4 linked regions of the Astyanax mexicanus genome follow. The protein of the gene in region 4 binds, or shares a complex with, the protein of the main gene of each other region. Links are inferred from orthologs where the notes say so. Each region holds a gene or a part of one and is shown on either strand. Other genes may lie near its edges. The genes, in order: anp32e, ing3, kat2a and transformation/transcription domain-associated protein.

The links.
Region 1: transformation/transcription domain-associated protein (region 4) and anp32e share a complex: the UniProt entries of both Homo sapiens proteins name them as parts of the SWR1-like complex. The link is inferred for Astyanax mexicanus from reciprocal best matches to the Homo sapiens genes TRRAP and ANP32E.
Region 2: transformation/transcription domain-associated protein (region 4) and ing3 share a complex: the UniProt entries of both Homo sapiens proteins name them as parts of the SWR1-like complex. The link is inferred for Astyanax mexicanus from reciprocal best matches to the Homo sapiens genes TRRAP and ING3.
Region 3: transformation/transcription domain-associated protein (region 4) and kat2a share a complex: the UniProt entries of both Homo sapiens proteins name them as parts of the TFTC-HAT complex. The link is inferred for Astyanax mexicanus from reciprocal best matches to the Homo sapiens genes TRRAP and KAT2A.

The regions. Positions count from the first base shown.
Region 1 is NC_064410.1:49,864,545-49,872,102, reverse strand, and holds the start of anp32e (acidic leucine-rich nuclear phosphoprotein 32 family member E), read right to left. Parts: upstream 3,285-7,558; 5' UTR 3,162-3,284; coding exon 3,108-3,161; intron 1-3,107. UniProt on the Homo sapiens protein: Histone chaperone that specifically mediates the genome-wide removal of histone H2A.Z/H2AZ1 from the nucleosome: removes H2A.Z/H2AZ1 from its normal sites of deposition, especially from enhancer and insulator regions.
Region 2 is NC_064409.1:8,056,913-8,064,862, reverse strand, and holds the start of ing3 (inhibitor of growth protein 3), read right to left. Parts: upstream 3,379-7,950; 5' UTR 3,287-3,378; coding exon 3,259-3,286; intron 3,117-3,258; coding exon 3,045-3,116; intron 1,653-3,044; coding exon 1,552-1,652; intron 1,272-1,551; coding exon 1,206-1,271; intron 1,000-1,205; coding exon 903-999; intron 743-902; coding exon 671-742; intron 1-670. UniProt on the Homo sapiens protein: Component of the NuA4 histone acetyltransferase (HAT) complex which is involved in transcriptional activation of select genes principally by acetylation of nucleosomal histones H4 and H2A.
Region 3 is NC_064426.1:26,198,533-26,206,092, forward strand, and holds the start of kat2a (histone acetyltransferase KAT2A), read right to left. Parts: upstream 3,049-7,560; 5' UTR 2,906-3,048; coding exon 2,681-2,905; intron 1,198-2,680; coding exon 1,074-1,197; intron 763-1,073; coding exon 617-762; intron 1-616. Other genes in the region: rab5c (ras-related protein Rab-5C), read right to left, coding at 6,665-6,792. UniProt on the Homo sapiens protein: Protein lysine acyltransferase that can act as a acetyltransferase, glutaryltransferase, succinyltransferase or malonyltransferase, depending on the context.
Region 4 is NC_064422.1:24,991,413-24,999,188, forward strand, and holds the start of transformation/transcription domain-associated protein, read right to left. Parts: upstream 3,396-7,776; 5' UTR 3,314-3,395; intron 2,441-3,313; exon of another isoform or gene 2,301-2,440; intron 1-2,300. UniProt on the Homo sapiens protein: Adapter protein, which is found in various multiprotein chromatin complexes with histone acetyltransferase activity (HAT), which gives a specific tag for epigenetic transcription activation.

The sequences.
Region 1 (7,558 bases), on a different chromosome or scaffold from region 4:
TTTTTCACAATTCATGACATATATATTTTAACCCATTTTAAAGCTTTGGCACCCTTTTTTTTATCTCTGTCACCCCTTTGTAACAGCTCCCTATTAAAGGCTTCAGAGAATGTTTAAGCAATAATACCGGAGAGGGAGTGCTATAATGTGAAATATTGGCACTGCTGCAGGCCGAGTGCCATAGATCAGCACAGCAGTGACAATATTATACAATATAGCCTCCAGTGTATTATTGTGATTATACCACAGTTCCTTTATTTGTGTTTATTGAAGAGGATGAGAAAATAAGATCTGTTTGGTTATAAACACTCTGCGAGTTAAAATAGTTCCATTGCTGCTTTGTTTGTAGCTGTGCTGTTTGGCTAGTAAGCGCTGCATTGTTGCTAGGTTACCTGTATGTGGCGGAGTAATACATGGAGCTTCGGTTACAGTGCATTACTGGCAGATAATGGCACTCATAAAACGCCTTTCAGCCCTCCACATTGCAGGGTTGGAACTAACTGTGGTAAACTAAATAATAATAAAACTAAAAATGTATGATAATTTTATAAATTATGTTGTATTATTGTACTAAAGAAGCTCTGCCACTCTTAATGTATTGCGAGTCTTGTCATCTAGCATATATTTCGCATTACTATGTTTTTTTTCCTATATCACCTCGTTGTTTAAGTGTGTTCACAATGTTGGGATGCGTAACTAATGTAGTGGCTAGGTTTGCTGTCTACCTGAATAATAAATAAAGAAAAAGAAGTAGTAGCTAGTTTAGGTTATGTGGCCAACGTCTCTATTCATGGCAGGCAGGGCTGTGGGAGATGGCAGCAGTCTGAGCCAGGCCACAGTTATAATCTACTGGGCTAGCTGGGTTACATTAGGCGTGGGGGTGGGGGGCTTGCGCACCCTCACCATCTGCCACGATCCTTCAAGTAGCTAACCTAATCTAACTAACCTAGGTTATAGCAGACTCCGCGGAGCGTCTAATGAAAAATATCAGTTAAAAAAAGTATCTTGTCTAACAGGCCGCGTTATGTAGTTATACATCTATCTGAAGCGTGCTAGTTACATAACCGCGCCATGGTTATGTGAGCAGGGAGGAAAATGGCACCGTGTTCTTTTCGGGACTCCATAACAGAAACAGCAGCAGCTCGGCTGAGCTGCGTAAAGCACCGGAGGTAGCGACAACACACGACTGTAACCGAGTTGTTTTGATAGTCTTTTAGTTTACTGAAGCGCTAAAAACGACTTTAAACACGCGGAGGAACGATTATATTCGTTAAACAACCGACGCAACAAACAAAATGAGTCCTAGTCAGCGCAGCGACACTCCCCGTCCGCTCTCTCTCTCCCCTATCTCAGCTCCCTCCCTCTCAACACACACACATACATACACACACACCCCTCTCAAACGAGCTGTAGACCGCGCTTTGTCGATTAATACCGCCGACACAATCCGCAAGAACAGCTGTGTGGTCTGAAACAGACTGTTAAGCTAAAATGGCGATCCGCCTGCGCATAGCTAAGTTAACTAACTATATAACTAGCTAGCTTTATAACTAAAGGGGCTTTCTCGAGGAATAACTAACGAACCATCTATTTAAGTTAGTTAACAGCTTGGAAATCTTGGCTTATAACTACAATGTCGAATTGTCGTCGAGTTGGGGAGCGGCGTTAAGATGTCCGCCTCGGGAGACGAAACTGCTCACTGTAATGGCTGTAGCTGTTATATCTGAAAAGCAAGACACGCTGTGCTGCTTTGAGTGCTGTCCACACACACTCTCACTTGGAAGGCAGTGTAGGGCTAGTGATTAAAATCTAGGGAACAATAGTTAACTTAGTTACGTTTTGACCTGACGATGCCAAAATATGACGGTCCTCCTAGTTTTGCGAGATATAACGTTAAACGTTTAGCTGTGTTGTTATTGGTTAGCTAACTAGCTGTTAGCATTTTAGCTCAATAAAATAGAAGACTCGACTACTAAATAAAATAAATTCTCTTGCTTACTAGATAGCTATGTTAACTTACGTTAAATCCAGCTACAAAAAGCTAGCTAACCTGGAGTTTGCTAGGTTTGAGAAGCCATCATAACTACTAAAGTCTGCATCCGCGTCGTTGCGAGCAGTAGAAGATTAATCGTTGAAAGTAACGTTAAAATAGTGCAGGAACAGACGTTATAGCTAGCTAGCTAACGTTAACTAACGTAACTTATAAACTAGTTAGTTAAACCCATACGGAGCTATACGCTATAACCTAGGTTAGTAATTAAACAGGATAGCTGAAACGACGGTTAAAACCCCAAGCGGATAGCTACCCAATTACACTACACTAGGCTAGTGCCTTATCTCTCAGCACAGTGTAAGTTATAGTTAGTGTAACGTTACTTGAAGTAGGCGACCTAACGTTAGGTTTGCTAAGAAATAAAGCGAAGAAATGTTCACGATGAACATTTGTATTTAGTATGCAAACAATACGTATCACCATTTTAACTAACTATTAACCAACATTTAGCTAAAAGTTTCTTAGGTAGTTTAACTAACCAAAAACACGGAGCTACACACGGACCACGACCACAATGTAAAGCAATGGTGAATGGCGAAGGGGACAGACTGTAGTAGTAGTAGTGGAAGAGGTGGAGAAGTGCTGTAGGGTTATGTTTAGTTAGCTAGCGTTAACTAGGTTACGATTCACTCATAAAAGACTCCACGGAGTTTGTTTTTGTTGGTCTCTCTAGTTCGTTACAGTTCGTAAATTAACGTAACGTTGGTTAAACTAAGCTAGCTAACGCTAGATTACATTAGTGGGGATGGGTAGTCCGCTAACCTAGCTACTCCAAACACGTTGTAGCTATTCGGCTAGAAGTCTCGTTTATTAAACTCTCTATTTCTCTATATTTGCTAGTCTAGTCTAATCAATCCCTCTCCCTCGCATCCTTCTTGAAGCGCCCAAGTGGTCTCTCAGCTCGCTACCCTAACTAACTGCAGTCCAGCAGCAGCAGCAGCAGCAGCTCAGTGCTCGAGTCTGCAGGGTAAGACAGGTTGCGAGCGAACATCCTTTCCCATTTCTCGCCAAAAATAAATAATTAAAAGTCCGATGTGTTCGCTGGCTGGCTTACCTCCGCGGGAGTTCTGTTCCTCAGCTCTAAACTGATCCTCTTCTTCATCTCCATCGTTTCAGAAGATACTCTACCGGACAAGATCGTTTAGGAAATAAAGTGTAAGAAACTCCAGAGCGCGCACCCACAGCTCGGCTTTCTTCAACGTCTACCGTTCTCTAACTGATCCTCCATGATACCTCGCACCCAACCCCCTTTCCCAAGCCCCGCCTCCGCCGCGCCGCCATTGGCCCGCTGTTGTTTTTCAGCGCCTGATTGGTGGACGCGCATGCCACTCAAGCGGATCACCCTGATCAACATAATCGGTCTTTGCCGGCGCACGGGATTGGCTGGAATTGCGCGCGCAGTAAAATAAGATGGGTTGATGTAAATGTCAGTACGAAGCTTTCAAACTAGGAATCCGCCCATTCTTTGTTCTCATTGGCGCCTTACAGCGCTGCCCAGAGCCTTATATATATACATCTATATATATTTACTCCACTAATAAACATACGTTCATATATTGATATTAATAGCTAGTATTAATAATAGTTAATTTAGATTAACCCATAATACCTGAGACCCATTTCTGAATATTAATCCCAAATAAAAAAATTAACACAATTTTTAAATCCTGTTGTACCACTAATGACAACAACAACTTCATGACTTTTATTTTAACTTTTTGTTTTAGAATTTCTGTCAGAACTAGTTTTATAGAATATAAAACTTTTAATGAAAACACAGAATTGTTTAAGTGGATGGGACAGAGCTGTGGAAATAGAAGAAAATACACTTTTAAAAGGAGAAGCTCACTCAGCACTCCTACATTCTGTTAATAAACTCAGATGAACAAAAACATGTTTACGCCACTAAAAAATATAAAAAATATATATATTGATTAGAAGTTGGTGTATATGAAAGTTGATTTAGATTAACCCATAAAAACCCAGACCAACTTCTGAATATTAATACCAAATAAGAATGCAATTAAAATTGTATTTTAAGGTTAAAACCCTGATGTCATGTAAATGACATCAACAACAATTTCATAACTTATTTTAAGTTTAAGTTTATTCAATAAACTTATTTTTAAGAAAAAAAAAATCTTCTAGATGTCAGGTCAAAACTAGTTATATGGATCACAATACATTTTATTTGAGCATTTAAACGGTTTCTCTGGTTGGAACAGCAACTTTTATCTCCAGCACTAACCCAGCAGTCTGGGTTAGTTTACTCTGTGAATAACACTGTGCGATGTTCAGTCACTTAGGAACTTGAAGGAAAGAGTGCTGTGGGGAACTTTTTACAGCTTTAAAAAAAAGCTCCATGTAGACCACACACACACACTGTATATCACTATATACAACACGTTAACTACTAAAAATCCAACTTAAAAAATATTAACATGCAATACTTGTAATACATATGATATTTTGTATTACAACTCTGTGCTTCAATATTATATTAAAATGCTTGTCGACTTATTTTTAATTTTTCTATTTTCTATTGTTTTTATGGATACTTCTATTCTCTTTTCACTGCTTTGCTGCTGTGACTGAAAATTAAGTCATAAAATACAATTTAAAATGAATAAGAATGTCTGTGAAAGTACAAAAAAAAAAAAAACAGGCTAAAAAGACCAACTTCAGCAGTCTTCCCAGTAATGCTTCCCAACCAACTCTTAGGCTCTACTACCCACCCCCCACCCCCGCTTAACTATTAAATAAAATGGCTGACCATAAACCATGGCAGCCATGGGGGCTTAGAGGCCGCAAGCCATCATGCCATCTGTCCCATGTAATGTGCTGCTGACCGCTTAACTACACAGCTCAAACCGGCCAAAGTCCTTACGCTCAGCCTTTCAGCATGTCAGGAAGCATGCTCGGCCGCAGAGCGCTCCCCAGCCTCTTTTTAAAGAGCGGTGCACTTCATTCTTCAATGGAAAATAAGAGTGAGTGGAGTGTTCATGAATGAAAACTATGAGTCACACCTCAGTCACAATACAGTCACTCTGAAGTGCATTTGGGTTTCCTAAATATGCCTTATTCCAAAAAAACATTCTCACTGTCAGCATCCAAACTTGTACTTCCCCCTTCAAATGAGTCTGAATACAAAATGATCATGGCATGTTGCTGGTAAATATGCCCAGTGCTGTAATATCCAAGGTGACCGCTAGAGGATGCACCTCGTTGACCCTGGCGTTGAATGGATACCATGACAGATTTCCTAAGCTGATTTATGCCTCATTGTGAAAGGAAGCAAATAATCTTCTTTACCTTGCAGTCTGTCTACTAATGGTTAAACCAAACTCCATTTGCTTTCTATTTGTCTCAATTCCAACTTATTTATAGGCCAAGTCTTTACCAATTGTACATACATTTGAAAAAATAAAGTCAGAAAATGTAACAGTTTTACAGTCTTGCAAAATGAGAATATAAATGCTTTAGAACAAAAGATCCATAGAAAATGTGTGAAAAAAGAAATTCATAATAATACCAATAAAAATGTCTTCCTAAACAACTACTTAGAGTTAGACTAAGAAAGTCTAGTATAAGGGCAGGATATTCCAATAATTTGGAGAGCATGCTGCAAAGGCACAGTCACCTTTGTGTTTTCCTTGACTAGAGGACCTCAGTGCAATGCATTACAACCCATTCCCATGAAACACCTGGTATGTTATCACCAATGCAGTGAAGCCAGTACTATGCTGCCTTCCTTCAGCTGACACATTTGCAGCCGTATCACAGCTCTACAACTAAAACAGGTAAATAAATATGTATTTCCAGCATTAGCTATTACAGAACAACACGGAAAAGGAAAAAATAAATTTCACAAGACTATGTACATCATAGTTTTGGCTGAAAAAAGTAAAAAAAAAAAAAAGTGTTATTTTTGTAACACTACCGGAAAGTATAGTACAGTACAGTGCAATAAGCTATGCCAGAAGTTTTGTGTAGCTATGTATTGTATAGAGTATTTGTGTCCTGTGCTTTGCCTGTAGTGTATTTGTAAACAGACGGATATCTCATTGAGAGGCTTCTCTAAGGGCCTTCGGGTGAAAGGTGGGAGCGAGGGCTGAAGGCACTCCACAGACAGGAAACAGGAAATACTTCAGCAGACAGAGGATGGAAACTGTGGAGCATTAATTGGGTGACTCAGTACAAATTCATAGTAACACAATAACTTCAACTGAACAATAACATGTTCAAAAGCAAATTCAGAATGTTGTGCATGTAAATGCTTCTTCAAAAAAAACAACCATATTAACTTGTCATTCGTTCGTGTTGGACAAAAAACACACATACACACTAGTGAGTGCACATGGACATAGCATGGGGTACCCATTACTACTGCCCAAAGTGGCAGCTTGCTGAGCCCGGAGATCTGACCCACAACCCTATCATCCATAACCTACTGCTCTAACCACTACCCCCGCTTCACCAGCAATGATATGGAATTGCCTTGGGACTGATATTTGTGTTCTATGTGATCAATAACACAATTTATCAGACGGAAAAGATTATGCCACAATACTGAATGCTGTACAAGAAAATGCTTTCTATTAGATTATGGAGTATTGGTTTTAGGATTTGATTGTATTCAACAGCATGAATAAATGCTGTATTCATGTATTTATGATGTATACATAACAGGTACCCCCTGCTATGTCTGCGTGCGCTAACTTGTGCATACGTGTGGTTAAAGGCTGCATTATAAAACCATCTCAGGAGTGTCCAACACAAACAAAATGACAAGTTAATATAGTTAACTTTTTAACCAGCAAAATATAAAAATATATTTATATTTTCATCTTGCTGTACTTGTTGTAACATAATTTCAATCCTCTGTATGCCCTGCTCATGTGCAGTAATGAAAATAAAACTACTTGAATATTAGTAAGATTAGGATGTTGTATGACCACCAACTCATTTTATCCCTAACTCTTTTAAATAATCTTAAAATATTGGATGTAGCTCCATCATTTAAGACAACACAATTATCCACTGTTCCACAGCTTAGTACAGGGGGGCATCTAGCCCACACTGACCATTAGGCAGGGTGCCAATAGCTTTATGTTTACCTGCCCCAGATAGTCCTATTCTATTGGAATATTGCATTACAGGGCCTAGACAAGCTGTGTGTGCGTGTTCGGATTTGCTCATCTTTTTTTTTTTTTGGCAATAGGTGCAACATAATAATATGCTGCTATGGGTGTCCACAAACATTTAGACATATAATTTATAGTGAATTTGAATTTATATAACTTAAATGTGACAAGAATTTATAGGGTGGTTATAGGGTGTTTAGAAAGGGTTACATAATGAACCATAAACACAGTTCTTGCCAAACTAGTGACCTTACATACATTCACGTTCAACAATTTGATGTACATAATTCATGTAAATTCAATATGTCAGTTGTTTAGAACAATAAGTAAAGCATATCCACTAATAAGCCAGAATATTATA
Region 2 (7,950 bases), on a different chromosome or scaffold from region 4:
AGTTATTAAATGAGCACAAATACAATAGATTACATATTTACATAATAAATGCTAGCACATTCCAGTTAAAGACAATTCAATTTTAAACATATAAATGCATATAAAAGTCATTTAAAAGTTCATGTTTAGCTGTTTCTATTCCTTACACTTCATTTTATTTTCCATTACGCTTTAATTATAAATATTTCCATGATTTTTCACGACTCTATGCCTTCAAGGCAAATTTTCATGACCATACGATTTTTAAAACGTCAGTGCAAAAAACAACTAAAACTATAATTAAAATGTATTATAGTAGGTTTAAAATTAATTAGGTAAAATGTGAGACACAATCTTTAATAATAAAATGTGTGTCAGATCCTGAGAGCTCCATTGTTTAGGGCTAAATTACTGAATTAACTCTGATCTGACGTATTTGTTAACTTAGAATAAATTCTCTCAATCGATAAACTGAAACACAAAGATTTGTAGACCAAACTTCCATGACTTTTTCTAAACTTTCTGGGTGTTTTTATTTTTCTAAAACTTATCCAGGTCTGGAAATTGCTATTTTCAAATTTCTTGACTTTTCCAGGTTTTCACGACCGTACGAACTCTTTATTTAGCATGTTTAGACACGGCTAATAAACTGTGCAGTCATACAGTGAACACAGATAGAGGACTGTCTTACTTTCTGCTGTGGTGTGAGAGTGGACATGGTGGTTATTGACAGGTTGAGAAGGGCTGTCCATTTCCAACGACCCTACAGAAAAGAAGAAAGGTAAGTTAAGAAAGGCTGCTTAAACAACTAATAAATTAAACAAGCATTCTTATGCACATAGCACTGCATAATTAAGAGATCCACATTTCCCAGCTGATGTCCTCACATATGATAACTAGCTTGGCAGACAGACTACACTTACGTCTCTCCAGGATCTCAGTGATTCCTGCATTATCAGCCTCCAATTCCATTTTAAATTTGGCCAACTCCTGATCCAACTTCCTCAAGTGTCGATCCACCTGAGCGCACACAAAATCATACAATCCTTAACTGAACTATGAAGAATTGTTTATCATCAGACATCAGAATAACAAGCTTTCACAGCATATACAAAAACATCTTTCCAATTCATTCCACACATAAGAGTACATTCACAATGAGTGACTGCCTCTAGTGGACATAAAGTGGACATAAAGTGTACTGCGGTACAATCATCCATACTCACCAGATCATAGATTTGATTGGCTAGCTGAACTTTTTCATCTGCATCTTCCAAAGCCTTATAGTAATCCTGAATAAAAGAGACAGAGGAGAAGATATGCATTAATTACAGCTTCTGCAATCAAAATTAATACTTTATTACAGGCTAAGCAAAACAGCCAAAAATAATTTAATAATACAGTTCATTAAGTGTGGAAAAACAAAACTGTGAATAGTAAACATCACAATTAGATGTGTTTAGAGGGCTGATTAAGGGCTGATTCAGAATTTAACAACTTTAACCAATTAGTTATTTTTAGCAGATGCTCCAACCACGGATTCCACAGAGAATTGCATCTTTTGTTCTGTACCTTCTTAATAACCTCCATCTGCTCTTCCCTCCATTCTGGTTTGTTCTTTTTAGCGTTGGCAAAGAACTCATTAACTCTCTGTTCCAGCTGGTCCATCGCATCTGAAAAGCAGGAAGAGGGTCATTATTTGCAAGTGGATGACCAACTAAGAGATATGTGTACTAACAGTGGACAGCTATGTGTCAAGCCTGCAACTGGATAAAAATAAAAAATAAAAAATAAAACAGGAGTGTTCCAGTGGTTTTCCTAAAATTTGAGAACTTTTGTTTTTAGAGGGCAATATTTTTATGTGAGAATAACAAACACGTCATATCAGTGTTATACACATTTATTTGTTTGAGTGTCATTTGTTTCGCTATTTAATGTGATGCTTATTTTCTTCTGTGAAGATATTTATGTATAATAGTTTTTGTGTTGATATATTACATTATTTTTATGTTACATAAATTATTATTACTTCACACAGAATCTTAAGTTTTTTTTTTGTTTTTTTTTTAAGTTTTACAATTTTTCAGTTACTAGAGCTCTCATGGTTCTTTCTTCTCTGCTCCATGCACTCAGCATCTATAATTAACTACTTTATTATAAAACACATTCAAATTTTGGTCAAACTTTAGAACATAAAGTTACGACTAAATTGGGAAATAGAAAAGTGGTGGTAAAACATCATCTGAAATGTTTCCCTTGATCCCATTACCAGAAAAATGCTGATAAAGGATTTCATACATTTTTTTCAGTTTCTGACATTTATCACAAATAGTTTCAGGGAAATTGTAAAAAATATGTAGTTAATCTTCTCTTGATTTTTTAATTTTTCCATTTCTGCATCTTGTAACAAAAATCTGATGATATAATGGTCAGTGTAATGTTTATTTATTTAATTTTTATGACCGTTTTAGGTTAAATGCAAAAATCGAAAATTTGACGTAAAACTCATTATTTATTTTTTTAAATATAGTTTTTCATCGACTTTTCCAAATTTCATTTTTTTCCCCTAATTTTTTTCATTTTTGCATTTTACCATCCGATTTGTGTTACAAGATGCAAAAATTGACAAATTTAAAAATCGAAAGAATTTCATTTTTCATGAAATTCTGTCTGTGAATAGCTTAAATGAAAAACTAGATAATTAATTATTATATTTTGGACGAATTATAATAATTTGGATGAATCCCATTTCGTCTTCGCTATACTGAATGGAAATAATAATAATAATTAAGTTTTAAACCCAATTTTCTATTTTCAAATTTAGCTTGATAATTTTGTTAAGAGAATGAAAAAAAAAACAAAATTTCCTCCTGCAATTAATCATGTGAAGAGCAGAAATGAAAATCTACATAATTTGAGAAATTGAAGAAAACCCGTTTAAAAAGTGAAATAATAGAGTTGTAATGTGTTTCAGTGTTTTTATGGGTCAGTAAAGTGCAGTGGTTGCAGGGCTGAAGTCTCAGCGGTCAGACTCTGAGAGAGAACCGCTGAATGCAGTGCCTTACTCTGAACCTGCAGGTCCATCTCTCGCATTTCCGTAAACCTGTCGCGGAGATCCATGGGTAGCTGCTCGATCACTGCCGGAGAGAAGAAAAAGCGGAGTTAGGAGCTAGCCTAGCGGCTAACGACCGCGCGGCCGTTTCCCCGCGACACGGGCCTCCCCCAGCACACGAACACACCGCCACCACAGCGAGCGAACACAGAAACACCTATACTCACTCTCCAGGTAGTCCTCCAGGTACAGCATGGTGGCTAACGGGGTATTTTTCGAGGTTTTGCAGAAAACGGAGAACTCTTCAATATGGCGCCTCGCCTCGCTGAACGCCGAAGAAAAAAAAGGCGATTTCGGAGGGGCGGGGCCTGGCGGCGTAGACGTGCACAGGGATTGGTCGGTGACTTACTTACGCAGCACCCGCCTTCACTGAAAATGCTCATGGTATTTGTAGTTTTTATTAAAGGAACGCGCACAGCGTGTTAATGGACTGTATACAAAACAAGCATAACATTATGACCACCTTGTATGTCTTTATGTCCCGTGTAAAGCTTTATGTGGGCTATAATTTAGGATTAGTGGATGAACAACACAAACTGTGAAGTGAACGATTCTTGACTCTTTGGTTTTATTTATTGCTTTATTTATTTTGTGTTTTTTGTGTTACATTTTCTGTTTTAGCTTTTTGCCATTTTATTTATTTTATCCATTTCGTCCTTTTATTTATTGATTTCCTCCCTGCAGGCACATAACGGTATTAGACGTTATCCTGACGTAATATTTCTGACCTCTGAATCTGACCTCATGACCAACTTTTACCCTAAAATTAACGTCTATGGACGTTGGTGGCAAGCTGGGATTTAACTTTTGGCCTTGTAGCTTTTTATTTCATTTATTTTATCGTTTTATTTAATATTATTTTTTTTAAATATTTTATTATTTAAATGATTTATCTCTTTATTTTATTGCTTTACATTTTAGCCTGTCCACTTATCCTTTTAATCTGAATTATTTTATTTCTTCTTAACTAAATATTTTATTATTTGCTGTTTTTTGAATGTTTTTACCTTTTAATTTTGATTGTTTTGTTTATGAAGGTCCTTGTTTAAGCTCTTCGGATTTACCTGATTTTAATTGTAATTTAAATGTATTTTTTTCAGTCACTTTAGGTCGTAAATGCTCAGCTGCATTGAAAATGAGGGTTACCCTCAATGTATTACAGAGTAAAAAAAGGTTCAGTATAGAACATGATACAGATTTTTCATATTTAGTTTTCAGTATTCACTGTTGCAGTATGGAGCATAATACGTATTTCTTCTATTCAGAATAATAATACATTTTATACTGTCAAACCGCTGTCGTGGATCAATATGAGGGAATAACACAAAGGCTAAACAGACTCTCCTTAGAAATCTCAAGGCCGAGTAAAGAAAGAGTTCAGGTATGGAAAGGAGGGGTTAGTTTCCACGATCAGCCTGAAGAGGGCAGCAGTGAATGACTTTTCATTTACAGGCACATTGGTTTACAGTTGGTAATTCAATATATACAACTTGCCTCAAATTGCTTTCATTTGTAACTTAAATAAATGTATTTGTAGCACCAGACCAGAATAAATTATGATATAAAGCAGAGTGTTAACCTTTTTTACTGTGCGACCCCTTTTTAGGTTCAAAATATGTTGTGACCCCCACATCCCAAATTCACCCCCAATCATCAACCTTAGGAAAGGTACACTGCCTGGCCAAAAAAAGGTCCCCAGCTGGATTTAACTAAGCAAATGATCTAAGGTTGCTGCCGTTTGTCAGGTTTAGGTTCAGCAACAGTATGTGCTGAAAGAATGAGATCAGCTGACTACCTGAATATACTGAATATAGACCAGGTTATTCCATCAATGGATATTTTCTTAGCTGATGGCACGTGAATATTCCAAGACGAAAATGCCAGGATTCATGGAGCTGGAATTGTGAAAGAGTGGTTCAGGGAGCATGAGATTATCATTTTTACACATATTTTTTATCGTTGATGAAAATTATAAAATCTTAAAGACCATTTGGTACTTTTAGCAGTGTGGGCACTGTGCCATGTCCTACTGGAAAATGAAATCAGCATCTTAATAAAAGTTGTCAGCAGAGGGAAGCACAGTGGACCAACACCAGCAGATGACTAAGACGAAGACTAATTAGTCTTATTCAATATTCAAATTTTCTGAGACACAGATTTTTGTTTTTTCATTGGCTGCAAGCCATGACAATAAACCATCAACAATAACAGAAAAAAATGCTTAAAATAGATTGCTCTGTGTGTAATACATCTGTATAATATATGAGTTTCACATTTTAAAACTGAATTACTAAAATAAAGTACCTTTTCAAAGATATTCATATTTCTGTGAGATAGTATATATATATATATATATATATATATATATATATATATATATATATATATATATATATATATATATATATATATATATAATATATATAAATCAGTACATACTTAGAGATGTCATAAGCAGACCTCTGAGGAAATCTGAAATGCTAGAAAAATGTTAGATATTTAAGCCACAAGCGCACCAGCACTACCCCTGTCTCTCACTGGACCGTCGTGACTTTGGGCTGTGTGAAATACTCCCTGATGGCTCATGAGAAAGAACATGGATTCTCTGATGAGGTTCTGTGTGTATTTATAGCTGGACTGTTTGTGCAGCAGAATCACCAGCAACTAAAGCCCAATCTGCAGTGTAGTGGTGTACCAAGATTTAAGGTATAATAATGGATATAGGAAGATGGTAAGATAATAATTACACAACAAATATAGAATTTAATCTAATAAAATAAAGACTTTACTTTATTATATTATTCTATAAACCACGGACAACATTTCTCCCAACTTTCCCCCCAAAAATGGTCATTTAGAGCATTTATTTGCAGAAAATGAGAAATGGCTGAAATATCAAAAAAGAGCTTTCAGACCTCATATAATGCAAAGAAAACAATCTTTCATATTCATAAAGTTTTAAGAGTTAAGAAATCAATATTTGGTGGAATGATCCTGGTTTTTAATCACAGTTTTATCATGTTCTCCACCACCAGTCTTACATGATGCTTTTGAATAACTTAATGCCACTCCTGGAGCAAGAATTTAAGCAGTTCAGCTTGGTTGGATGGTTGTGATCATCCATCTCTTGATCCTCTTGATTATATTCCAGAGGTTTTTAATTTGGTAAAATCAAAGAAATTCATAATTTTGAAGTGGCCTTTTTTTCCAGAGCTTTATATATACAAAAACTCCATATCTGCTATGTGGTGATCCTCTGGGGTCCTGAGCATTGAATAACAGGGTGAAAGGAGGATAATAAAGTATGCAGAGAAATAGAATGATTAAATACTGTAATTGTAGAACTACAGTGTGTTTCTTTATGCTCAGTAAAGCTGAGAAAAAATAGCATACATTGTTTCTACACCCATAGCAGGATAATGGGTGTAGAAACAAGATTATTTATATGGAAATGCCACATTTAGATTAGTAAAGAAGGCCAGCAGTGACTGTTTCACTCCCTCACCCCAGGGGCACATTCAGCTCATCCCTGCAGACAGTAATACACATATTTGACCTCCTGACCCTCTGCATTCCTCTATTACACTTCCTCCTCTGTTTCTCACTCACTTACTCACTGTCACTTACCCACTCACATTATCTCTCGCTCACTCACTCATTCTTTTGCTTTTTTACTCACTATATTTTCACACTCTCATTTCTTTACTCTATTTTTCTGCTCTTTCAATTTTCACGCTATCTTGCTTACTCCTCTCTTTCTCAAGCACTCTTTTTTCACTTCTCTCACTACCGACTCATCCTCTCACCAAGTATAATGTTCTCTCACCCTCCTGTCTCCTGTTAGTAGATGCTGTCTCTCTTACTTTCTATTTTTTTATTTCTTGCTCAACTCTCACAGTTGTTCTGTCTCTCTCTCATTCTGTTTCTCAATGCTCACTCATCCACTCTAACTGTCTCACTCATTTTACCAGCTGTTCTCTCTCTTTTTCTCTTGCTCTCTCACTCTCTGAGTCTGTATTCCTTGTTCGTTAACTCAACTATTCTCTCACTCAGTCTTCCAGTTGTTCTCTCTCTTTCTCATTCTAACTTTATCTCACTTTTTCTCATTTACTCCTTTAACTCATGTTTCTAGTTGTTCTCTCTCTCCCTCTCTATTTCTTGCTCACCTAATCACTCTTTCTTTCACTCACTTTTGTTGTTTTTCTCTTTCTCACATGCACACTTATTCTAGTCATTTTAACTTTGTCTGAAATTTACTGAGTAGTTGCTATTTCTTTTTTTCTCTCTCTCCCACACTTTACTAGTTGTTCGGTCTCTCTATTTTTTTTGTTTCTCTATGCTCACTTTAACTGTCTCACTCACTTTACCAGTTGTTTGCTCTCTTTCGGTCTTTGCATCTATATTTCTTGTTTGCTCACTCACTCACTAACTCTCTCTTCCTCTCCCTCCTCTTTAACTCTCTCTTTTTCTCTGTTTATCTCTTATTCTCTATTTCATGCTTGTCTCTTTACTTACTAATGGTCACTTAATTTCACAGTTGTTCTCTCTCTCTCTATTTTGCTCTCTCTGTCTTTATTTGTTGCTTTTTCACTCATCTATTCCTTCACTCACTTTTCCTTAAATGATATTGTTCAAATAAAACTGTAATTAACAAAATTTAACACTAACATTGTTGATTTACTGTATAGTTGCTCTCTGTCTCTCTCTTTACCTCTGCCTGTCTATTTCTTGCTTGCCCACTCACTCACTTCCCCAGTTGTTCTGTCTCTCTTTAATGCTGTAACTCTATGTTTACTATAATTGTCTCACCCCCTTTACCAATTGTTTACTCTCTTTCTGTCTTTGCATTACTATTCCTT
Region 3 (7,560 bases), on a different chromosome or scaffold from region 4:
TGCAAGGGTGAATGTGTCCAACACTATATGGACTAAAGTACTGAAACACCTCATAATCATCAAATTCAGGTATATTATTCAGACCTATTGACACCGGAAGTTTAATGTTTATATTTTATCATTTTTATCCCATTTTCTCCCAATTTACACGGCCAATTACCCAACCTACTCATTAGGACTCCCCTATCACTAGTGATGCCCCAACACACCAGAAGGGTGAAGACTATCACAAGCCTCCTCTGAAACATGTGAAGTCAGTCACCGCCTCTTTTTGAACTGCTGCTGATGCAGCATTGCCAAGTAGCATCACAGCGCACTTTGAGGAAAGCGCAGCGACTCGGTTCTGATACATTAGCTCACAGATGCCTTGTGTGCTGATCGACATCACCCTTTGGAGTGATGTGGGGAGAGAGCGCCATCTACCCACCCAGAGAGATCAAGGACAATTGTGATCTCTCAGGGCTCCGGTAGCCGATGGCAAGCTACACTGAAGTTCAATGTTAATGCCTATGGATTTAGAAGAGGATGCTGTAAAAGCTCCTGTGAGTGCACTGTGCAGTTTTACCAAAACTTCTGTCCTTATAGTGAATATAATGAAACATCATTCTGTATTTACCTTAAACAGGTAGAAGTAAACCTGCTTGGTGTCTGTGTCCTCCTCTTTATGTACAGACATGAACAGATTCTCTACGTCCACCACCATCCCCAGTAACCTGTTTATTTCTTCCTCCGACACGTTTTCCAGATGGGATACATGCTCCGCTGCACACACAGACACACAAACAAACAGATGTAAGATTACGTTTTTAATCTGGGCAGTGGTGGGTAAGCAGTTAGAATACCGATATACCGGGCTACCACTGTTAGGCACTCGAGTAAGCCTTCAACCTTTACTGAGCTTGTACTCACTGTATGTGTGAAACTGAGTGTGTTTGTTCACTAGTATGTGCGTGTGTTGACTGCATGAATGGGTCAAAGGATGAAGCCACATTTCATATGTGCCTCCTGGATCAAACACAAATGCATCAAACTGTTTAAGTCCTCAAAAGTGAGGGTTATACAGTAGTGCATACCCAGGGCGTGGCCACAGCTCCGGCACGCCTCGCTCAGGTTGGCCGTCTGCTGCTGAAGCTCCATCCGGGTGGCCGTGGGAGGATGAGGGTTCTTCCAGCCATTACACTTACAGGAATCATTTGCCTGTTTCAAAACAGTGGTAACAATGATACTTAATTAATCGTAAATATATTATGTCTGAAAAAGATATACAGTACCAGTCAAAGGTTTGGACACACATTCAGTGTTTTTCTTTATTTTTTATTGAATGTATTTTTTTACAATGTGGATTGTAGATTAATTATGCAATTAAGGGAATTATGGAGTAAACAGAACAGTGTTTGTCCTGACATAAACCCAACTGAGATGGTGATTTGGGATGAGCTGGAGCTTGACAAAGTAAAGGAAAAAGCAGCAACTATTGTTCAGCAACTCCAGGAACTCTTTTAAGGCTTTTGAGCTGGTACTGTACTGTACTGGTACTGATGTGATTTATATTGTGGAAGGTAAAATTAGATCACATGAAAAGTCTTTACTCATTATCATGTTTCACTACATCACTACTTTAAACACTGTTATTAGACAGACCACTCAGTATATACTAGTGCATAGACTAGGTCAACATCGTTATAAGGTTACTTTATTTCAATAATTCAGTTCAAAATGTAAAAATCATATGTTATATAGATGTATTACACACAATGATCTATTTTAAGCGTTTACTTATTTTTATTGTTTGTGATTATGGCTTACATCCAACGTAAACACAAAAATCAGTGGCTCAGAAAATCAGAATAATCTACAAGACCAATTGGTACTTTTGGCAGTGTACCTGTTGTCCTGTTGGAAAATTAAATCCCCATGTAATCTCCATAAAAGTATTCAACAGAGGGAAGCACGAAGTGCTGCTGTAAGAGTTTGGACTTGATAAAACACAGTGGAGGACCAGCAGCAGATGACATGTCTCTCCAAACCATCACTGATTGTGAAAACTTCATACTAGACCTCAAGCAGCTTGGGACTGTGTGCCTCTCCACTCCTCCTGCAGATTCTGGTCCCTTGATTTACAAATGATATTCACAATTTACTGATGGTCAGTGATGGTTTGGAGAGACATGTTATCTGCTGGTGTTGGTCCACTGTGTTCTATTAAAACCAAAGTCAGTGCAGTGTATTTACGGAAAATCTTGCAGCACTTTCATAAAGATGTGGATTTCATTTTTCAGCAGGAGCAATTGGTCTTTTTATAATGTTCAAATTTTCTGATTCTGATTTTTCGTTTTTTATTGCCTGTAAGCCATAATCAACAACAATAAAAGAAATAAACACTTAAAATAGACCACTCTGTGTGTAATATATCTATAGTAATATAAGAGTTCCACATTTTGAACTGAATTACCGAAATAAAGTAATCCAATTATTTGAGATGCACTAGTTTCTGTATTGCAGAGCTCAGAGCCATTGCTGTAAGACTTTCTGTGCAGGCTGGTCAGTTTCAGACCTAAGCTAGACGTTGTTGTGGTTAGATTATGAGGTTCCCATCTACCACACACTAAACCGGCAGGTCCACTGTTAACCTAGCTCTTGCTACAGTAACGCTAGCTAGTTAACTATCTTAGCTGGATACCTTGCAAGCCGAGAACACGCCGAGTTTCTCCAGCTTCTTAGCCCGAGGAAAGGCGCGGACCTGGGCTTTTTTCTGGCTCGCCCACTGCTGCTGGCTCAGGCCGGGCCGCGCCGGGTCGCTGCTCCCGGAGCCGGAGCCTGTGTTCGGGCCGGAGCTCGCAGAGCCCCCGCTCGGGCCCTGCTGAAGCCGGGCTTGCGTGGAGGCTTGTGCCGCCGGTTCCGCCATACCAGCACGGTGCGCCCCGGTCCGGAGAATCGCTGTGTTCAGTTCTGGTAGCTTAAAGCGCTCTGGAACAGCAAATTCTGTTTATTTATTTACGTTTTGTCAGGCCTCGCTGCCGCCTGTGTCCATGAGACACAGCCTTTACATTGCGCATGCGCAGTTGCATGGGTTTCTGGGTAATGTAGTTAACTACATAAACTACTAGCCAGCTATCGGCTTCGCTCTTTTAATCTGTTGTAAACCATATATATAGACCATAACAACACTTTTAAGATACAAAATTACAATAAGTAAACTGTATAAAAGGTGAGCTGATACAATACACCATACATGTATTAAAATAAGAGACTTTTACAGAGAGCCACAAAATATACAGGTAAAAAATCAAGAATATTTAGTGATATTTAGCTGCCACTGTTATTTAGCTAGCTAGCTGCCCCTGAGCAAGGCCTTCAACACTTTCTGCTCCCCCTGAAACTCAAATAGCAAGACTGTGTTCCAGTTGCGTACCATGCACTACTACTACATACTAATCTTAATAGTGTTGGTTTGGCAGGATAACACATAAAATATTCATGTAATAATAACCCATTTGTACTAACTGAAAGTTATGCTATGCTAACATTCATCTTTATGCTAACAAGTATTACATTTGCCTTTATGGCAACATTTATGGTATCAATATTCAACATTTTCCCCTGTGTTTCAAAGGATAGGCTGCAAAATCTTACAGCACTTCATGTTTCCCTCTGCTGACAACTTTTAAGGAGATGCAGATTTCATTTTCCAGCAGGACTTGGCACACTGACACAAATACCAATTGGTTTTAAATATAATACTCTTATTTAACATTTTTGAGATGCACTAGTATAGTGGCCACTCAGCAACAAATTGTGCATTTAAGAATAAATAGAACAGAGGGGAATGGAGAAAAGCAATCTATCTAGGATAAAGCTTAGGCTTTGGGTCGCAGGCATGGGTAGCTCCTTTCTGTCCAGTTCGCATAGCATTGTGAGATAATGTTCATTGCAACCACAGTTTGTCAAAAACCAACCAACCATTAAGTACATTGTGCTTTGACACTTTTATTTACAGTACATAATTCATACTCGAAGAATATTTAGTATTAGAATTAGTAAATAGATTTTTCTACTTTAGTGCTCTGGAATTAGGTCTGGGATTGGGAATTCCTGCTTTAGAGGGTGGGTTTGGTTCACTCATGGTGATGATTGAGAGGAAAAACACTGCAGTAAATCCACACCTACTGCAGATCTCACTGCTGCACAGAGCTCCTCCACTGGAAGGCAGTGTAGCGTTTCAGACTGTTCATGAATCAATGACTCAGTAGCATTCTGTCTTTTGTGCTTTTCTTTAAAAATACTCAGAATCAAACTAGGACAGAAAACATAGCTGAAAATTGTCAGTACAGACTGTGCCATTCTCAAGTACACATACAAAGTTTTTGCGTGACAGTGATATGCAAGAAGACAAGGTCTCATCTGGATATTATCCCTGGTTAAAGAGGCATCAGCTAAACTACATTTAGAGTTGCTAAATTATAATAAACTAAAAGTCAATGATATTTTCTCTATTTCTTTATACTTGACAGCCCTAACTGCCAACAAACCAACATCTACACTCTCACAGTGCTATACACGATTCCTGTGTTCCTGATTGTATTCCTGATCATTCTGGAGTAGGGCTGAAAATGTATTAATTAATTTCAGTCTACATGTATTAATTATGCTTTAATACAAAGATAAAATGCATCAGCAGTGGCAAATGCAGCTATTCTGCTTTTTAAAACAATGTTTAAAGCAAAATGCAGTGGGATTTTTCTTTTTGCTGCACAGCATTCAATTAAACATTTATTTTTACTCTTTCTGTAATTAAATGTACAGTTGTGTCAGTGTCCTTTAACAATTTGAGGATATCCTCAATATCATAAAATATCAATATATTGCCCAAGCTCTATTCTGAAGTATGTCTATTATTTCACGCATCATAAAATTTGTACACAATATATATATATATATATATATATATATATATATATATATATATATATATATATATATATATATATAAAAAACATTCTGGATGATTCACATTACGTCAAAGACAGAAAAACACACTGCAAAAATAGGCTGTTTTTAAACAACTATAACGATACATAAACATAATAATAGAAAAGAAATAAAAAAAGGAGCAACAATAAACACACTAACCCAGAGCAAGATACCTTCCCCTTGTTTATTGGTAAAATTACAAGTACAAGATATTATTTGTTGTTTTTCTGTCCCCCATCCACAAAACAGTTGTCCGAACCCTGTTAAACTGTGTCTGGGCAGTCGCTCTCATTCGTTGTGCTAATTCACAAGCAATGGAGAAAATGCTGGTCCAAAAAGAAGAAAAAAAGAAAACAAACAAAACAAAAAAAAGGGCAGAAAATGATGGTTCACAGAGGACAAGAAACAGCCAGTGCACTCAGAGGGACCTTCATTACAAAAATCATTTCACAGAAGAAGGAAAAAAAAGAAAGAAAAAAAAATCTTCAGGCAGAAAGAAAAGACGAGTAGACGATTGATCCGTTGTGGGAAGGTACTGTATTGATAATGGCTAATGATTCGGTATACTTTTCGCAGACAAAATGGAAAAAGAAGAAAAAATACAGAGTACAAATACAGCAAACAGTTACGTTTTTCAATACACAAACTGATTTTGGTCAGAGGAGGCAAATCTCGTCGTGCGTTAACGCCACGTTTGTTGACTGTTCGGGAATGTTCGCTCTCATTTCATTAATGCTAAAAATAGACACTGGTGTTAAGGATGTCCGTTAATGCGTTATGCATATACAGTCTGATATACGTAAATTATTTGGAGGGGTGGGGGTGGGCTAACCTATGAAATCATAAATCATTATTCATTAGCTCTGGAGTAGTGGTAGTCATAATAATAATTACAATAATAACAACAATAGTAATAACCAAGAATAATACAGAATCTACAGAAGCTGCTGAGAGTGAAGGGAAAACAGCCTCTCAACCTAGTTTCTCTCTCTATCGTGTTCTCTACTCTTCCACTTAAGAAAAAGTGCCAAGAAATCAGAAAAGCAGAATAATCAATACTTGTTGGGTATGGTGACTTCTATCCAGAGAGAAAGAGAGAGAGAGAGACAAAGAGAGAAGGAGAAGGAGAGAGAGCATCTGAGTTCAGGTGGTGAGGATCAGGCTGAACTCAGAAAACAGACCAGAGAGAATGAAAGAAGTGGAAGAAGTGTGTTTTCCCTCCAGCAGCAGTCTGATTTTCTATCATGAACACAGACTAGAACAGAACAGAACATTACAGCTCTGCTTAAGTGCGATAGAATTGATCGTTGTTTTCCCTCCTTGTTCCCCAAACGCATGTTGTCTTTATTTTTTTCATGTTTTTCCATTGTTTCGATAAGGGAGGGGGCGGGGCTTGTGTGATTTTATGGTATACACAGCAAAGCCAGTCAACTGATTCTTGAACACAGGTGTTACAGAGGAGCCGGCCTATTGGTCGGGGGTAGAATTGGTCGAAATATTTACAAGTGGTTGTGAATATCAATGGCCCCTTTCTGTCAGTTCATTAAGTTGAATCTGTTGGGCTGCTGATGTACTTCACAGTTTAACTGACTGCGAATAGACAGAACTGTCGGACTATGAGTTGGTACTTTGTCGATCGTGTGTCTTGTGTTGATCCTCGCCACATTTGACAGTCGTCGATTGGTTGGGTTTCTTAGTTTCCGCCTCCACAGCACTGGCCGGATCTGCCCTGAGGTGCCGCCTCCTGCAAGTCTACTCCGCCTCTGGCTCGTCCTCCAGGTCCTGCTCCACCCTGCGGCTCGTTCTTCGGAAGCTTTTTAGCTACAAAGAAACAAACGAAGACAAAAAAGCGTTAAAAGTGAGTAAACAGATACATGAAGTCCTGTGCCTGTCTATATTGCAGAAATAATTAGGGCTTTTGTATGAGTTCTATAATTAACAAAAAGGTTCAGAACTAGGGGTGTGGCATATTTTATTGTATGCAAAAATATTGCAAATAATAGAAAAAATAAGAAAATAATTGACCAAAGAAAAAAAAATGTCCTGATGGAATATCCTGATATCCTTTATCCTCCTATATTTTTATGCCAAATATTAAATATTTTTGTTAATTACTAGAATTAATGTCCAATTTAACACGATTGCAAGTATGATAATGCAGGTTTCTAAATAATAAATTAAATATCAGCTTTTTGATTTTATTCCTTTTTAATTTCCCACAGAGACTTTTTTGTATTGGCTGTTGCCTCCACTTAAGGTCACTTTTATTTAATATTTCCTCCATTTTACAGAATTAAACTCCAATTTTAAAATGGACAATTTTTATGCTGTATTTCACAAATTAAGAGAACATGAAACAGGTCTTAAAGGTTCAGTACCTGATCGTTTCTACCACTAGAGGTCACACTAGAGCACCAGAATCTCCAACTACAACAAATGCCCTTTATTAAACCACGCCCTTCACTTCAGACATTCCCCTCTCTCCCACCATAGGCAGGAAGTAGGTATACATTTTATGTGTTTATGTATATTGTATATTATGTCTTTTAAATACTGAAGTTGGCCAATGTTTCCACAGGGCGGCATGAA
Region 4 (7,776 bases):
GTGCGCTTTATAATCCGGTGCATAATCCGGTGAATTTTAACAGTCAGGTTTTAAGGAGCATTAAAGCCACTCCACTGAAGTACAGTGTTATAAGGGTGAGTTTTCAGTGAAGTTTTTCCAGCACTAAGGCTGGGTGCAGCATCATTAGCATTAGCATTACTTGAACACTCAGAATTCCTCAGTCTACCGCTATCGGGCACCATTTACATCCAACTAGCGCTGTGGTTAGAGGCTAATGATAATGGTGATGGTCCCAGCCTTCACACCAAAAAATCGATGTAGGCATCCTTACTATTGTTGCTTTATGCACCTTATAATCCGGTGTGCCTTCTAGTCTGAAAAATACGATATCTCCTTGGGGCTTGCCTCCATCCCCCATTATATGGAACTTGGCCTTCAGTTTGGAGATGGTACTGAGGCTTACTCCAAATAATGTTGCAACTTGTTTTTTTCAGAACACCAGCCTAAAGTTGCCTTATCCAGACCAGTCAAATGTGGCATGACACCTACTGACCAGTGTAGCGGGGACCATTTTCACAGGTGCTGCACCTGGAGGTACCAGAAGCTAAAAAGTGTCAATAGCAACAGCAGAGTAAACTGTTTGGCTATGGCAGAGAATATTTGGCTAATTTTATATGGGTACAACCCACATATTCAACTCTGCTGCACACAAGATGTTTTGTGGTGGATTAGAGCTGGAGTCCTTAACACCACTGGCAGAGAGGAGTACCCAGTCCTATCCACAGACAGACTTCGAAAGTCTTTTGTTGCTCAGGCCATAAGACTGTCCAATAAAGTAATAGATACTTCAATAAAGTATCTATCTATATATCTCTTTACATATCTAATCCCACAAATGCATGTTCCTTACAAATGTGGCTTACTTTAAAAGGGAAATGAACAGGCTTTACAACAATATTAGATTTCTCACCAAGAAACACTGTTACAACAGAGAAATTATCTACCAAACAAATATCCTTACCTTTAGTGCTGTGTTTATAAGGTATAAATCATGGAGTAATAGTGTAGGCAGAGCACATGGTATGTTTGTTGTCTCAGTAAATTAAAAATAAAACGTGCAGACTTAAGTGAACAGCACTAACTTACAAACCCTTTACACAAACGTTCTTCGTATTGTAGTTAATGTTATAATTGTTCATTAGTTATAAGTTATAAGTGTTCATTAGAAAGGTCTGTAGGTCTAGGGAGCTTACAAGATAGAAACTTACCACTACAGCCAAAACCATCAAACAACAATGTATACAGCTCTGGAAAAAAAAATACGAGACCACTTATAAATGATAAATGATGAGTTTCTATGATTTTACCAAATTAAACCTCTGGAATATAATCAAGAGGTAGCTGGATGACAAAAAATCATAAAACCAAGCTGAAATGCTTGAATTTTTGCACCAGGAGTGGCATAAACTTATCCAAAAGCAGTGTGTAAAACTGGTGAAGGAGAAAATGCCTGAACATGCATGAAAACTGTGATTAAAAAACAGGGTTGTTACACTAAAAATTGATAATATCTAACGATTAAAACGTTATGAATATGAACATGTTTTCTTTGCATTATTTGAGGTCTGAAAGCTCTGCATCCTTTTTGTTATTTCAGCCACTTCTCATTTTCTGCAAACCAATTCTCTCCAAGACAATATTTAATTTGGAATTTGGGAGAAATGTTGTTTGTAGTTAATAGAATAAAACAACAATGTTAATTTTACTCAAACATATACCTATAAATAGCTAAATCAGAGAAACTGATTGAAAAACTGGTCTCATATTTTTTTTCCAGAGCTGTATATCAAGATAATAAAATACAGTTTTACTATAAATTAAGATCTTACATTCAGCAAAAACATATTATAATATTCCATATGACAGAATTATGGGATGTGAACTGTGGGTTAAACATTCTGTGGGGTAAACAACTGCAGTACGCCTAGCTTATGCATCAATAGGTTTCCCTGCACCTTCAGCTAGCTGACTATAATAATATTTAAGCTGTGTGCTGAAAAGTAAACACAAATATTTAGCTTAAAAAACTTTAAACGATTAAATTACACACACAGATATGTATAACCAGTGTAGCTTCTATATGCAGCCAAAAATAAGGTTATATGCGGCGAACTATCAGCATAAAGAAGGCGTTGTCGAAAACAGCACGGTAGGACCCTAAGCTAGCTATGCTATGCTAGCTAGCTAACTACACACTGCAGAGCACTGGAGCTTATAATAATAATAAACACAGGATAATTTAGCTAATACAGCAAATTCACCTCTTTTCACAAACTTACACACAACCGCCACTGAAGACGCCGGCTGGATATCCGTCTGCGCACTTACAGCAACTTTATCTGCAGTTTTCCAGCGCAGCCGGCGCGCCAAATCGCAGACAGTGCTATGCTAAGCTAGGCTAGGCTAAGCTAAGCTAACGTTACTACAGATGCACGCCTACTGCAGTCCGACGCGCGCAGATGACATCACTGCGGTTAAAGCCAGGCTAAGCTAAGCTAGAGATTAGTGCAGTGAAACAAAAGCCAGGATATCTTATATTTAATACACGAACTTATAACAGAACTCAATAGAATATATATTAGAGTTTACAGACTTTCACACCCCCATCATTCCAACCTTTATATCTCAGTTTTGAATCCGCAATCCCTTAGTAAACACACTCTAAACGCGTACCAGCCTGCTGCACAGACAGCCGGGTGTTCTGTCGAGTTACGCTACCCATCGATACGTGCTTCCTAAATGCACTGCGCATGCGCTGACCGACTATTTAATTTTTTTGTTGTTGTTGTCGTTGATAATAAATCTGTTATTTGTGTATTAAATAGCTCGGACTGACTCATTGCACAAAGTATAAATGTAAATGTTTAATAATAATAATAATAATAATAATAATAATAATAATAATAACAAATACAATTATTATTATTAAAAATGTAAATACAAAATCAAAATGTAATTAATAACCTCCCATTGCCGTATCTTTACCATGATACAGTGATTCATGCTATCCAAATATACTAGCTACATCTACTGGGACTTCCACTCCTTTTGTATTTTTACAGGTAAATACGCTAGGGTAGCACGATTTGACAAAGTAGCACAACTCGACAGAACACCGTTACTACAGTCATGTCCTTCCCACCAACACAACTAGCAGTATTTAACCTCCACCAGTATCCCAAAGCCAGCGCACATCTCGGCTTCAGCCACTCACACACACCTGCGTATCATATAAACACAAAATCCCCCCAAATAAAGCGAATAAAACGCAATACGCGCATTAAAGACTTACAGCAGATGGAAAAAGAGGGAAGGAGTTCTAGCTCTGCTTCAGCTCGCACCGACTCAAACCCGGCGGAGGGATCTAAGCAACACCGCGCCAAGCTATGATAATCTGTTTACTAATTATAATCATATATTTCTTGCATTTAAAAACAACAAGCATGATATGTGATATAGCTATGTTAACTTCTTACTAATAAACACATTATGTAGGATCTAATTGTGCGCTCTTCTATTGTTTTGTCGTTTTTTACAGTACAGCGGTATAGTCCTGCGCGGAAGGACACTGCAAATTTGGTAGTAGTCAGAAGACCATCGAAAACGAAGGTCTTTCTTTTCTTTCGTTTTCCCATGTATTAAGAGCTTACAAATTATGTTTTTAAGCTATTTTAATGTTTCCATTTCATCCCTATTTTGATTTCTAAAAATGCAAAACCTGACTTTTAACACTTAGACCGCTATTCCTTTAAAAAGGTAACTAAACATTTTGCAGTATAAAGAGAATTTTAATTTACGCACGCAATTAATTCTGTTTTAAATACTGGACTCTACTTATTCATTTTTTTTAAATACACCACACAGCTATAATGAGCAGCTTCTATCATATTTGTTATATTATGCTTCTTTATATGGGGCTTTATATAGTAGTCAACATTCTGCATTTAGGCTGGCTGGTTGGGGTTGTAAGTACAATAAACGGCCATTTGAGGTCGCTGCGTTGTTGGGCGTCAATGTGAAGAAATTATAGGGGGAATGGCAAAATGACAAATATAAATAAATAAATGCACAAATAAATAAATTAATACCTTTATGTATTTATTTATAAATGAATAAAAAAATAAATGCAGAAAGCTGCTTTGTGAGCACATCAGTTATAAAATGTGCTATACAAATAAATTTGATTTGATGATTTGATGTAAAACGCCTCTGGATATGAACTAGTGATGGGTGATTTTCACAATTAATTCGGTTAATTCGAATTACAGTTTTATTGCGGTTTTACATACTGTGACGGGCGGGGGGAGCAGTGGGTCCGTCCCACGCCATGACGCGCAGTCCCTGCCGGTCCCAGCTGATCTGAATCAGGACTGATTGAGCAGCAGCTGGAACTCCGGCATAAAGACTCGGATTCAGTCCCCACTCTGAGAGGTGCTACAGGTGAGAGGAAGGCTGCGGCAGGATAGACCCTTAAAAGACTGGCAATCACAAGTTCAGCGAGTAGAGCCCCTCTGGGCCAGTGTAGTTATGTTTTGAGTTGTTTTGGGTGTTAGTGGAGGGCATTTGTAGTGATGGGCAGATGAAGCCTCATTGGGTGTATGGCACATTTCCCAAACTGTATCGACACTGTGTTGAAACTGTGTTGCTGTATCACTTAATGGCGACATCTGCTGGACTAAGAAAGTCATTGCAAGCAACTGCGCGAAGAAATGCATCGGTCACGTGGTTTTCCTTAAAATGATACGCGGTCTGACACAGGGGTTCGCCTTGTTTGCTCGGTGCATGCGCTGAAGTTTCAGTGTCGTCAGACCCATCGCTACCAAACGATACAGGAAGTGTATCGGTCACGTGGTTTTCCTTAACTTGATACGCGCACCGACACGGGGTTTCGCCTTGACAGCTCGGCGCATGTGTCGAGGTTTCAGGGTCGTCAGACCCATCACTAGGCATTTGAACCTAAATAAAGGTACGTTTTGAGTTCATTCACTCCCTGTGTCCGTGTATCTGTGGGTTTTCTGACTGCCCTGTCACGGTGGCCACGCCCCTATCCCTAGGGATGCCGTCACAATACAGGCACTTTATCTGTTTACTCTAAAGTTTCTAAAGTGTTTATCCTTCTTAATTTGGCTACCACTGCCTCCCACAGACTAATGCCGGTCTTACACCTAACTATTTTTAAACGTTTTCACAGTCGCAGACAAATTTCCAAAGTCGGGAAAAAATCTGGAGAGTCTGGCTAGAGAAAAGTTGCGGTCGAGTTGCGGTGGCGTCATCTCTATCCTAAGGTGGTTGGAAGTTTAATCAGTCGGGTTCGCCTGATTAATCAACCGTGTTTAATATTATCGCAAGTCTTGGGACTTGGCTCACGCAAATAGTGACGTGAACAATGTCAACGACCAATAGAAGAGCTATGGGGAAAGGCAAGAATATATTTCACGTGACTGTTTTGAAACTATTTACATATACAGTATTTTAAACACAGGCAGCACTTTAAAGTCATTATTTTTAAAGTTTTTATTTTGCACTACTTTGTCTTATTGTGCAGTTTTTTTTAAATACAAAAGTTTAATGTTTTTCAAGAATTAACTTCTTTAATTGCATTAGTTGTATCTAAGGCAAATGTATAGCAGTGAAACTGTGTAATTCATTGCTATACAAGGTTGTAGCAAAAAGGGGATAATCAAGTTTATAGACAGAGTTGAACACAATGTATTCTATTAAATATCAAGAACTAACAGTGAGGAAGAAAAAATAAACTGTTGATGGGCACAAAAGTTGTGAGTCTCTGATGAATGTGTGTTCAATCACTCGCAGGTGCTAAACCGTGATTAATGGTGGAGAGAAATAAAATGTCTCATTCAAAGTGTCTTCTATAGTTGTTCAGTGTATTTTTCAATTTTCAGTCACACACCCTCCTTCGTGTGTGATAAGCTGTGTACTCAAGGTCAGCGTGTGATATGACTGCGTGAGCTTAAACTGCTTTAAATAATTGATTTACTCAATGAGTAGACTCACCCTAAAGCTTCTAAACACATAAAATATATATATATATATTTTTTTTCTGTTTCACATGAAGATATGACACTTTAATACAATGTAAAGTAGTCAGTGTACAGCAAGTAACACTGTATATTTGCTGTGCTCACAAAATAACTCAAAACACAGCCATTAATATCTAAACTGCTGCCAACCAAAGTGAGTATATACAAGTGAAAAGGGCCAAATTGTGCCCAAAGTGTCTATTTTGTGTGGCCACCATTATTTTCCAGCACTGCCTTAACTCCCTTGGGCAGGGAATTCATCAGAGCTGCGCAGGCTGCTACTGCAATCCTTTTCCACTGGGTTCTATTAATGTACCACCTAAATTTGTGTTAGTCTCTGTCTGTAGAAAAGTTCAACATTCAGTTATATCGCACTCCAGAAGATGTATACATGAACAACACAAGAAACTAATATTATTGATGAATAATCATCATTTAATAAGTTATGGGAAGGAAGAATATGCCAATGATATGATTTTCCTCTGCACAAGCCTACATCTCTGCTTAATGATGGCGGACAAGCCATTTGCCACCTTTGCCATCTGTCTGAGCACAATCACAGTAACCCTGCTGGAGCACAATAAATGATCCAGATGGTGAAAAGGTTGCATTATCATTTCAATGGCCTCACTGTTCAGCTGTGGAAACATTAAAGCAGAGATGACATCCTGTCCCTCCAGCGAATGAAACTTCAAATACTTTAGTATGACAGATTCATATCCAGCAGCGGGAGTGCAGATGAAATGTGGGCGGTTTGAGGCTACTTGCGGTCTCTTGTTGACCACTGGCCCTCATCTTTGACTCCTTGTTTAGCAGAGTAAAACGAGAATGCCACCGGAAATTGGATTTGTGCCTCAACGACCGCTTGGAAATGAAAATGCTGATGTATTTTTCAGAAAAAACAGGCTCTATGACCCACATCTTGGGTTTTAGATACACTATGCGCAAATGTGTGCATTCTAATGAATGCATTATTCAGCTACTTATTTAAAGCTACACCAATTGAGTACAAATTCACACACTTTCTCTAATTTCTGTAGAATAGTATTGGCAATGGAATAGAAATCTCTGGAAAAGATAAACATGAACCTATTACCATAAATCCTAATGCCAGGTGTGCGCTGAAAAGGTAGCAAATGATGTGGGGTTGCTGCACTTGGTCAGGTCTACGTTCAGTAACAGTATGTGCTGAACAAATGAGGTCAGCTGACTACCTGAATATAGCATTATAGAGCATTATTTTTTGCATGAACCATTTAATACCCTTGACTTCAGAAGAAGCAATTCAACATTTAGTCAAGACATGAGAAAAAAAAAAGAGACAATCATTAATAGTGAATATTTTTATTTAAAGAAATGAAAAATGTAGGATTGTATGCATTTTATGAGGCAGGTAAAAATAACACTGGCATCTCCAATCATGCTGCAATATAAACACAATTAGTACATTTCAGCACAAACTAGATAAATACCCGGGAACCACCAAAAAAAGAATGAGAGTGCATTTCCCCAAGAAAATGTATGTATAAATTGCAGCTCAATGGCAGTTGTGTCTGTGTTGCTTGCTAGGGTGTTGCCAGTTTGTTACTAGGTTAACGTTTGCTAAGAAGTTCCTGTTTAGCTCTTAATATACATGAAGCATAGAACTACCCTATTAGTTCTGTAACTGTGCCAGATTTGGTGTTTATAGCTCAAAATATGTGACCTGTAGAGA